Sus scrofa: one gene and its partners. The protein of the gene in region 1 binds, or shares a complex with, the protein of each later gene. Links are inferred from orthologs where the notes say so. Each region holds a gene or a part of one and is shown on either strand. Other genes may lie near its edges.

What was found.
Region 2: SNRNP40 (region 1) and SNRPG share a complex: the UniProt entries of both Homo sapiens proteins name them as parts of the U4/U6-U5 tri-snRNP complex. The link is inferred for Sus scrofa from reciprocal best matches to the Homo sapiens genes SNRNP40 and SNRPG.
Region 3: SNRNP40 (region 1) and SART1 share a complex: the UniProt entries of both Homo sapiens proteins name them as parts of the U4/U6-U5 tri-snRNP complex. The link is inferred for Sus scrofa from reciprocal best matches to the Homo sapiens genes SNRNP40 and SART1.

Annotation. Positions count from the first base shown.
Region 1 is NC_010448.4:87,862,574-87,866,221, forward strand, and holds part of SNRNP40 (U5 small nuclear ribonucleoprotein 40 kDa protein), read right to left. Parts: intron 1,269-3,648; coding exon 1,146-1,268; intron 1-1,145. UniProt on the Homo sapiens protein: Required for pre-mRNA splicing as component of the activated spliceosome. Component of the U5 small nuclear ribonucleoprotein (snRNP) complex and the U4/U6-U5 tri-snRNP complex, building blocks of the spliceosome.
Region 2 is NC_010445.4:72,197,548-72,201,295, reverse strand, and holds the start of SNRPG (small nuclear ribonucleoprotein G), read right to left. Parts: upstream 2,575-3,748; 5' UTR 2,453-2,574; coding exon 2,421-2,452; intron 1-2,420. UniProt on the Homo sapiens protein: Plays a role in pre-mRNA splicing as a core component of the spliceosomal U1, U2, U4 and U5 small nuclear ribonucleoproteins (snRNPs), the building blocks of the spliceosome.
Region 3 is NC_010444.4:6,366,723-6,370,370, forward strand, and holds part of SART1 (U4/U6.U5 tri-snRNP-associated protein 1), read right to left. Parts: intron 2,986-3,648; coding exon 2,859-2,985; intron 2,734-2,858; coding exon 2,628-2,733; intron 2,081-2,627; coding exon 2,003-2,080; intron 1,894-2,002; coding exon 1,794-1,893; intron 1,711-1,793; coding exon 1,568-1,710; intron 1,450-1,567; coding exon 1,243-1,449; intron 528-1,242; coding exon 403-527; intron 326-402; coding exon 192-325; intron 83-191; coding exon 1-82. UniProt on the Homo sapiens protein: Plays a role in mRNA splicing as a component of the U4/U6-U5 tri-snRNP, one of the building blocks of the spliceosome. May also bind to DNA.

The DNA of each region.
Region 1 (3,648 bases):
AAAGGAGACAAGGAGGGATGGATTATTAGTTCCTCTGCTGCACAAATGAGCAGAGGCTGAAAGAAGTTAAGGAACTACCTTGAATTAACAAAAAACCGCAAAATGGTGGAATTGAGATCAGACCCCAAGTCAATTACCTGAAAGCTTTAGCTACACTATACTGCCACATAGTCTACTGCCTCCTTCTTTCTCCAACATCATTACCTTCTCACATTCTTAGCTATGGATCCCTCAAAACTTCCTTTCTATAGTCTCAAAAAGAAAGACATACTGAGAGATTAGGGTACAGAATCACAAATTGATTTACTGCTATCTCAAGAGACAAATGCAGGGGTTTTTGTTGTTTTTTGTTTTTTTTTTGTCTTTTCAGGGCCGAACCTGGGGCATATGGAAGTTTCCATGGCTAGGGATGGAATCAGAGCTGTAGCTGCTGACCTACAGACACAGCAATGTCAGATCCAAGCTGTGTCTGTCACCTACACCACAGCTCACAGCAATGCCAGATCATTAACCCACTGAATGAGGCCAGGGATCGAACCTGAGTCCTCATGCATACTAGTTGGGTTCATTACTGCTGAGCCACAACAGAACTCCCCAATGCAAATTAAAAAAAAAAAAAAAAAAAAGTTTCCGGAGTTCCCGTCATGGCGCAGTGGTTAACGAATCTGACTAGGAACCATGAGGTTGCGGGTTTGGTCCCTGCCCTTGCTCAGTGGGTTAAGGATCCGGCGTTGCCGTGAGCTGTGGTGTAGGTTGCAGACGCGGCTCGGTTCCCAGCTCCGATTGGACCCCTAGCCTGGGAACCTCCATATGCCGCGGGAGCGGCCCAAGAAATAACAAAAAGACCAAAAAAAAAAAAAAAAAAGTTTCAAATACCTTTAGGCAGGGAATGCATTCTTCACTTTCAAAGTTCACACATAAGAACTTCCTATTTCACGTTAACTGCCTGGTTCCTGACAGCATTTATACAAGCTGCAATGCAACCATGACTTAGGAAGTCAATGAGGATAGGACAGAAAGGAAACGACTTCTAAGTTATTATCTTCCATTTAGTTGGTATAAAGTGCAAACCTAAGAAGTATGGAAAAATTTACCTCTGTGAGTGGAGATAGGTGAGAGGTAAACATAACAAACATCTAACATACCTTGATATCATTGTCTATTCCACCAGAAATAATTTGATCACTTGTGTCATTGAAGGTCACAGCTAACACCTGGTAGGTATTCTGAAATGTCTGGATGGCTGCTTTCTTACGGATGTCCCAAAGCTGAAAAAGAAGACAAGAGAATCTACAGTAACATCACTCTAAGAAGCAACTGCATAGTACACCCTTAAGTCCAAGGACTTTTACAGAGGTGAAAACATTTGAAATGGGGACCCTGTTCCGAAACTTGTCTGGATATCCTATAAACATCGTGAAAAGTGACTATAATTTTGCCAACATATCTGAAGGCTGGTGGAACAAATCACGCTGGTTCTATTTTCAGACTCCTTTGTTAAAGTTTTTTTTTTTGTGTGTGTGTGTTTTAGGGCTGCACCCGTGGCATATGGAGGTTCCCAGGCTAGGGGTCTAATTGGAGCTGTAGCCACTGGTCTACGCCAGAGCCACAACAATGTGGATCCAAGCCGCATCTGCAACGTACACCACAGCTCATGGCAATGCAGCATCCTTAACCCACTAAGCAAGCCCAAGGATTGAACCCAAAACCTCATGGTTCCTAGTCAGATTCATTAACCACTGAGCCGCGACGGGAACTTAAAGTTTGAATAAACACAGTTAACAAACATGTCCTTGGAGTAAAAATCTTTACCTTGTTTATTAGTTCATATGTTCTTAGTATACAAAGGGTATTATTAGTTCAGTATTTTCAAACTGTAGATATTAATTCATTAGTGGGCTGCAACTTACATTTAAAGAAAAAAAAATATATATATATATGGGGGCGGGGGGACAGACAGAGGAGCCTACATCAGTGAAAAAGGCAAGAGCAGGGATTGCCCAAAAATTGTTCCTACAAGAGCAGAGACTTACCTGGCAAAAAACCTGGCAGAATCAACTTTATCAAAACTCTAGAAACTAGAGTTTACAGCAACCAAGTGAATATTTAATGAGGAAAAACCCACCTGGGGTCTAGTAAGAAGAGTTTTGCAGTATTTTAACTCACTCCATTCCTACTCAGCAACAGCTTTGAAGACAACAGTCTACAATCCTGGTATAGGTTCCTAAGTACCTGAGGAAGATGAATGGACCTTCCTTCTTCCTTTTTAATTAAAATTAAAAATTTTTACATTTTATAAATTTTTTTTTAAATTAAAGTATTGTTGATTAACAATGTTGTGCCAATTCCTTCCTTCCTTTTCTTTCTTTTGCTTTTTAGGGCCTGTGGCATATGGAAGGTCTCTGGCTAGGGGTTGAATTGGAGCTACAGCTGCCAGCCTATGCCAAAGTCACAGGCACATAAGATCCAAGCCGTGTCTGTGACCTACACCATCAACTCATGGCAACGCCAGATCCTTTAACCCACTGAGAGGCTAGGGATCAAACCAGCATCCTCATGGTTACTAGTTGGGCTCGTTACCGCTGAGCCACAATGGTAACTTCCTGTTGTGGCAGTTCCTGCTGTACAGCAAAGTGACCCAGTCCTTCATATATACACATTCCCTTTCTTGTATTATCTTCCATCCTGGTCTATCCTGAGAGAATGAATATAGTTCCCTGTCCTATACCATAGGATCTCATTGCTTATCCATCCTAAATGTAATAGTTTGCATCTACTAACCTCAAACTCCCAGTCCATCCCACCTCCTTCCACTCTTCCCTTTGGCAACCACAAGCCTGTTCGCTATGTCTATGAGTCTGTTTCATAAATAGGTTCATTTGTGTCATATTTCAGATCCTAATATTTTAAATTTATTAGGATTTTTATTTTAAAGACTTTAAGTTAGAGGTTCTCTTGAGGCGTTTTTTTTTGTTTGTTTGTTTCTTTTTTTGCTTTGCTTTTTTAGGGCTGCATTCACAGCCACAGCAATGCCAGATCCAAGCTACATCTGTGACATACACCACAGCTTTAGGCAAAGCTGGATCCTTAACCCACTGAGCAAGGCCAGGGATCAAACCCGCATCTTCATGGATACTAGTTGGGTTCTTAACCCAATGAGCCATGATGGGAACTCCACAACCATAATTTAAGATTATTTTATTTTGAAATAGTCACACTTACCAAAGAAGCTGCAAAAGTGAACTCTTCTTCTGCCTAAATTATTTTAGAATTGCTACCCTCATGTTCTGATGCTTGTAAATACTTCAGCGTTTACTACATTTGTTCTCCAAAGATGTTTCCCTACATAATCTGAACACAATCATCAGAATCAAGAAACTAACATGGGAACTTCCACATGCTCATGGGGCCAAAACAAAACAAAGCAAAAAAACATCTAACACTAGGCGTTCCCATCGTGGCACAGTGGAAATGAATCCAACTAGGAACCATGAGGTTGCAGGTTCGATCCCTGGCCTTGCTCAGTGGGTTAAGGATCTGGCATTGCCATGAGCTGTGGTGTAGGTCGCAGACGCAGCTCAGATCCTGCAGTGCTTTGGCTGTGGCATAGGCTGGCAGCTGTAGCTCCAATTGGACCCCTAGCCTGGG
Region 2 (3,748 bases), on another chromosome or scaffold:
TTAAGCAACAATCTTAAATGTTCAGGATATTCTCCAACACCCAAGTATACTTTAGCAAAATAAATGCATATTGAAATTTTAAATAATTTGAATTAAGCAACAAAATTCCATATCAGCAGGGTAGTATGAGAATATGAAGCCAAGGGCGTTCCCGTCATGGCTCAGCAGAAGTGAATCTAACGAGTATCCATGAGGATGCAGGTTGGACCCTGACCTCACTCAGTGGTTAAGGATCTGGCATTGCCATGAGTTGTGGTGTAGCTCACAGACACAGCTCCGATCTGGTGTGGCTGTGGTTTAGGCCAGGGGCTACAGCTACAGCTCCCATTCGACCCCCCACCTGTGAACCTCCATATGCCGTGCGTGCAGCCCTAAAGACAAAAAGAATATGAAGCCAACAAGTCAAACCAGTTTTTACCTCTTTGCTGTAGGCTAGAAAATATGAAACTTCATTCAATTTTAATGTATATCATGGAGAATTCAAAGATAAATAAGACATGAGGCCTGAAGAAGGTGTAAGAAGACAGGTTTTTACAAATAAAAATATATAGTATGACATGTAAAACAATCAATTTTACTAGGATGTTATAAAAAAACACAAATATAACACATATGAACTTATTTTATTTAATCCTTATGAAAGCTTTTTAAGTTATGCATTGTTATTACCACCAATTAACAGATGGGGAACCAAGGCCCAGAAAGGTTAAGTAAAATTTCCAAAGTCACTCAGCAGTGAAAAAGTTTGAGCAAAATCAAATGGTTCAGTTTGGCCCAAGAACATGGTACTCAAATATTAGCGTGTGTAATATTTGGTGCTTGGATTTCAAATGGAGGAGCGTTACTGCTGGTTCAAGAAGTCTGGACTTTATTATGCAGATGGCAATAAGTTACTGCAGCAGTATCAGGCATGGCTAAGATTACTGAAGCATGTGTAAATCAATCCATTACGCTGTACATCTTGAACTTACGTAGTGCTGTAGGTCAATTTTATCTCAAAAAAACTGGGGGAAAAAAAAGACTACTTTGGCAATGATTTTTAAGAGGGGTAGGAAGAATATGATTGGGCCAGGGTATCTCAACCTTGGCATACTGACATCTGGGACCAGATAATTCTGTTGTTGAGTGATGTCCAGTGCACTGTAGAATATTTAGCAGGAACCCTGGCCTCTACCTACTAAATGCTGGTAGAACCAGACTCTCTACACCACAGTTAAGAACCACAGAATTATATTAAAAGCAGACGGAAGATATAAAAATGCAAAAAAAAAAAAAGATTTCGGGCCTCGTGGGTGGCATGCGGAAGTTCCTGGGCTAGGGACTGAACTTGAACCACAGCAGTGCCATGTTGGATCCTTAACCGGCTGAGCCACGAGGGAACTCCAAAAAAAGATGGTAAGGAAGAAAAAGTTAAAAGTCATTTTGGAGGTAGACCTGGCAGGATCTCACAATTATTGAAATCTACATATAAGAAAAGAAAGGTAATTAAAAACTCTCATTAATATCTTAAGAATCAAAAAGGAAATCTTACCAAGAACACCCCCCCAACAAAAGAGCCTTCTCTAATTAGAGAAAAATGAATGTTCTCACGCATTCCAGTTAACAGAGCAAAATATCACACATTCAAGTTCAACCTAAGTGCAAGAAATTAAGAAAAAAGAACGGGATTTCTTTTTTTTTTTTTGTCTTTTTGCTATTTCTTTGGGCCGCTCCCGCGGCATATGGAGGTTCCCAGGCTAGGGGCTGAATCGGAGCTGTAGCCACTGGCCTACACCAGAGCCACAGAAACGCGGGATCCGAGCCGAGTCTGCAACCTACACCACAGCTCACGGCAACGCCGGATCCTTAACCCACTGAGCAAGGGCAGGGACCGAACCCGCCACCTCATGGTTTCTAATCGGATTCGTTAACCACTGCGCCACGACGGGAACTCCCAAGAACGGGATTTCTAAGTTAAAGCTCAAAGGAACCACCAACACACTAAGATGAAGGCAGCTTTTGAATTTCTCATATACCATCAAAACAATTCCATTCCATCCACCTCCTTAGTTCCTTACAGAATTACTGTCCAACCACCTTATCTCGAACGTGATGCTACTCAAGGCGTTCAGCTAACTGTGGTATTCAAGATCTTTAAGTAACGAAGGATCGAGTGCCAGAGACCCGGCCAGGAACTCCGGCCTGGGAGGCAAACCTGCAGACGGAGGGGCCTTTACGTCTTTGAAAAGCATGCCCACCAGGCCGAAATACAACATTTGCGCGGGATGCAGGCCCGGAAACGTGGGACGGTGGCCCGGATCGCGGCGGCAGCCAGTGGCAATAAGCACGGCAGACACACTCTCCGGAAATGGCTGGGGATCCAAGGAACTCAAGGCCTACAAAGAAGCCGCCATTTATGCGCGGCCCTCATGCATACTTACTTCTTCAACTCCGGCGGGTGAGCTTTGCTCATGATGCCTACTCCGCGAACTCAAAGAAACCTCCAAACGGAATTCGTGTTCTCCCTCACGCTCCAGCGGTAGGCCCGGTGCTTTGCGTCTGACGTCACTGATCCCGTTAGCCAATTGATTGTTGGCCGCTTTCACGTTTCACGTCGCGATACTTAGGAAAATCCTGAGCTCGCAGATCAGTCCCAAGCTTCCGTTGTGTCGCCAGGGATTGGCTAGAGCGGAGGGGTGGGGCCTCCAGTCTTTATATTCCTCTTTGTAATTGGGTTGCTGTTCCTGCCTCTAGCATTTGAAGGACGCTGGTTAACTCATTGTCTTTGTGGGTTGCAAAGTTGTCTTGACGCTACCAGATGAAAATAAGCTCTGGAGGGGTAGGCTCCTAAAAATTTCTTTGGCATGTGTGTGCATACTTCCATGTGTTGTTCTTCCCTTTGTTGTCCTCTGCAAACACTGCGGTTTTTTTTTTTTTGGTCTTTTTAGGACCGAACCCTCCGCATATGGAAGTTCCCAGGCTGTGGGTCAAATCTGCGCTGCAGCTGCTGGCTTTTGCCATAGACAAAGCAACGCTGGATTCTTAACCTACTGAGCGAGGCCAGGAATCAAACTAGTATCCTCATGGATACTAGTCCGGTTCTTAACTCCCTGAGCCACATCGGGAACTCGTTTTTTTTTTTTTTTTAATTTAGCAAATTGAAGGTTTGAGGCAGCCCAGAGTCCAGCAAATCTCCCAGCGCCATTTTCCCAAGAGCATTTGTTCACTTTGTGTCTGTGTCATTTTGATAATTCTTACAGTATTTCAAATTTTTTCATTACTGTATTCGTTATGGTGATCTATGATAGGTAATCACACTAAGAAAAAAAAAATCTTGTGACTTGCTTTGAGGTATTTGCTTCACTGTTGAACCTGTGGTATTTTAGTATTCCCACAGGATGTCATGCTACAACTAAGGTTCTAGTAACAGCTCAGTTAACGACCTCTGCACCAAAGGAATAGAGTGAGGGGGCCTCAGTTTCCAAAAATTTTAATCTAGAGGAGTTCCCGTCGTGGCGCAGTGGTTAACGAATCCGACTAGGAACCGTGAGGTTGCGGGTTCGGTCCCTGCCCCTGCTCAGTGGGTTAACGATCCGGCGTTGCCGTGAGCTGTGGTGTAGGTTGCAGACATGGCTCGGATCCCGCGTTGCTGTGGCTCTGGCGTAGGCCGGTGGCAACAGCTCCGATTCGACCCCTAGCCTGGGAACCTCCATATGCCGCGGGAGCGGCCCAAAGAAATAGCAAAAAGACAAAAAAAAAAAAAAAAAAA
Region 3 (3,648 bases), on another chromosome or scaffold:
TCCAGCTGCTTCTGCAGCTCCAGCTCGGCTTCGTCCTCCTCCAGCACCTCTGGGGACCCGGATCGCGGGGCTCCGCCCTCCTCTGGTGGAGACACAGAAGTCGCCTGCCTGCTCAGGTCCTCTCCGGGGCCCCGGGCCCCCCAGGCCCCCGTCCCACCCCCTCTGCCCCCTCTCAGCCGCTGGGCCCTCACCCTCGTCGCTGATGTCCATGTTCTCCACACGGGTGTCATCTGACTGCGGGGGCAGAGGCACCGGCTCCTTCTCCTCCTCCTCCTGGGCCTCCTCGTCCGCCTCGGGCACTCGGCGCCGACCCCGGCCCCGCAGCCTGTGGGGAGAGGCCTCCGGGTGAGCTCCGGCCCCGGCCGGCCCAGCCCCCCACGCCAGGCCCACGTCTGAGCCCACCTGGAGCCGAAGTCCCCGTCCTGAGTCTGGTCCCCGAGAGGCAGCAGGTCGTCGGCCCGCACCACCACCTCCTTCTCCTTCTTGCGGATCTTCTTCACCCTCCGCTTGGTCTTTTTAAAAGTCACCTGGAGGGAGGAGAGCAGAGGAGACGCGGTTTCGGGGAGGCTGGCAGCTCGGGCCCACGAGAAGGCAGGCCGCTCTAGTGCTACCCTGGGCCGGCCATGGTCCTGAGCGCCTCAGCCACGTGAACGTGACACAAGGTGTGGACGCCCCTCACTCCACCTGTGAGATGAGGAAACCCGAGCTCAGAGAGGCTAAGCGCCTCGTCCAAAGTCACCCAGCCTCCCAAGCAGGAGAGCCAGGACCCTGCATCCCGGGAGTCCGGCTCCAAGGTCTGGCTCTTAACCACTGAGCCAGGCCATCTAGCGAGCCAGCTGCCCACCTGCTATTCAATCTTCCCACATGCAACATCTACTGACAGCTACGGACTCAGCGCTCAGCACGCGTCACCAGTCCTTGTAGCAGCCCCTTACTCGGTGGCTCCTGTCACCCGTTTCAGACCAGAGCTCAGGCCTGTCGCTGAAAGACTCACTCTGTGTATAGACTGACTATGTGGCAGAGCCTGAACAGCAGCACAGGGCCACCTGGCTCACGGTCTTTGCTCTGTGTACACCCACCGCTGCCCTGCAGCACCAGGGCTGCCGGTTACTGCTTGTCCACAGGGACTGAGCACCAGGCCATAACGCGACCCTCCCACCTCTGCTCATCCTGGTGGCAGGCGATCGCGGAGGGGAGGCAGGATCACGACCGATCGTGTGCGGATGGGGCCCCAGGGCTCACCATCTCCTCTGGCGTGAGGTACTCAGAGGCGAGCCGTGGCCCAACCGAGCTCAGGGACTGAGCCTGCAGCCGCAGCTTGGCCCGGATCTCTTCCAGCTCCCGTTCCCGGAGGCCGTCGGCCACGCCGCCCTGCTCCAGCCGGAAGGACTGCGGCCGCTCGCCCTCGAGCTCCTCGTCGTACTTGGACAGGATAGAGCGGGGTTTCTGCTGCAAAGCAGGAAGTACAGGTTGGGACCCAGCCTGACCCCCGAAAAGCCACAGAGCCACCATCGCCTCAGGGGCTCCTCGGCCGCCACCGCTGCCGCCCTCTGTGCTGCCGGCCTGCCTGGGCCAAGTCGTCCACGCTCTCGTTCTCCGCGTACGGCGAGTAGTCGGGCTTCCTCTTGCGCAGCTCCACGTTTTTCTCCGCCCGCTCCTTGTCTAGCAGGTTCACGTTCACCAGCACGTCCTCCTCCTCCTGCAGCACCCCTGGAGACGAGGCAGACGCAGCAGCCGGTCACGCGCGCCCTCGGCCCGGCCCGTGCCCAGGCGGAGCACCCCGCTCAGCCCACCTTTGTCCTTGAGGGTGAGGATCACCGTCTCCCCCTCTCGGAAGGCGTCGATGGCGTGCTCCACGGTGAGGCCCTGCAGGTCCCGGGCGCTGTACAGGTCCTAGGCAGAAAGAGGGGTCCAGCTCAGCCGGGAGCCGACCCGCCCGGCCCTGGGATCCCAGCACCGGGATGGCAGCCCCCCGCCCCCCCATCAGCTGCTGAAGCCTCACCTGCCGCCTCTGCTCGAACTCTTCCTCCACCAGGGTGCTGACACCAAACTCCTGGTCCATCTCCTCCAGCAGCTTGGCCTACAGGACAGGGAGGGGGTGACCTCTGACCTCACGCTGTTCGGGATCTCCAGAGGACACGGGGCCTCACTGAGGGGGGAGCTCAGAAAGCACATGCCGGAGTTCCCGTCGTGGTGCAGTGGTTAACGAATCCGACTAGGAACCATGAGGTTGCGGGTTCGGTCCCTGCCCTTGCTCAGTGGGTTAACGATCCGGCGTTGCCGTGAGCTGTGGTGTAGGTTGCAGACGTGGCTCGGATCCCGCGTTGCTGTGGCTCTGGCGTAGGCCGGTGGCTACAGCTCCGATTCAACCCCTAGCCTGGGAATCTCCATATGCCGCGGGAGCGGTCCAAGAAATAGCAACAACAACAACAAAAGACAAAAGACAAAAAAAAAAAAAAAGCACATGCCTTGCAGACAAGCTGCCGAGAACCCAACACAGGCACCACGGACCATGGGCCTCCTACTGCTCTGGGCCCAGCCTCACTTCTCCAGGTCAGCCCCTAGCCTCACCAGCCAGTCAGGCCACCAGAGGTGCTAAGCCACACCCCGGCTGCCCAGGACCTCACCCTCTTCTCTGCCAGGTCCTTCTCCTTCTGAAGCTGCCGGCTCCTCTCGATCCAGGCTGCAGTGTCGTCCAGCCAGGGGTCATCCTCCCCCAGAGTCTTTATCTTCCTGAAGAGGGGCGAGAGTGACCCTCTGGGGAGCCAGTCCCGGCTCCCCGACCCACCTTGGCAGCTCCTCGGCGCCTCCCCAGGCCCCCACCCCACCCCCCAGCCTGCCCAGCTGGGACCCCTCACCCCAGCTTCTGGTTGAGGAGGCGCTTTTCTTTGGCAGCCGCCAGCTTCTCTCGGAGTTCTTCTCGCTGTCGCAAGGCCATGGGGTTGATGACATCGGCAGTCACGGGCTCCTCCTTGGTGCCCGCCTCTGGAAGGGAGGCCCAGACGTGAGGCTATGCCTGCCCATGGCTGGTGGGGAGAGGAGGGAGCCACTCACGCTGCCCCTTCCAGCTCAGGGGCCAGAAGGTCCTTCACCCCCCCACTCCCACAGGATCCCGCACTCCCATGTCACCCCCCAGGCCTTCCTCCAAACCCCCTCTGATCACATTTGTTTTGGGGGGGGGGCATGCCTGTGGCATACAGAAGTTCCTAGGCCAAGAATCAAACTCTCAACACAGCAGTGACCTTAGCCACAGCAGCGACAAAACTGGATCCTTAACCACTAGACCACCAAGGAACTCCCCTCTGATCATACTTTTAAAAAAACCGCAAAAACACACTCAACACCTACACAGGCCAGATTAGTGCACAGCAACTGTGCAGATCTCTCGGCCCATCTAATGCTACCTCACAGCCAGAGTGAGGTTGTGACGCCAACTGCTCCAACAGAAAGAAGGAGCTGAGTCCCGGATCCGCGTCACAACAGCCGGGAGGGCCCCGCCCCGTGCCCATCGCAGCACGCACGCGCACACGCGGGACCACGACTGGTGCTGAACCTGTGCCTCGGCCCCACTCTCCTCAAAGACCGCTTCAGGGGGCCTCCCTCTGGACCCGACCAGCCCACCCTCCCTCCCTCCTCAGTCCCACGCTC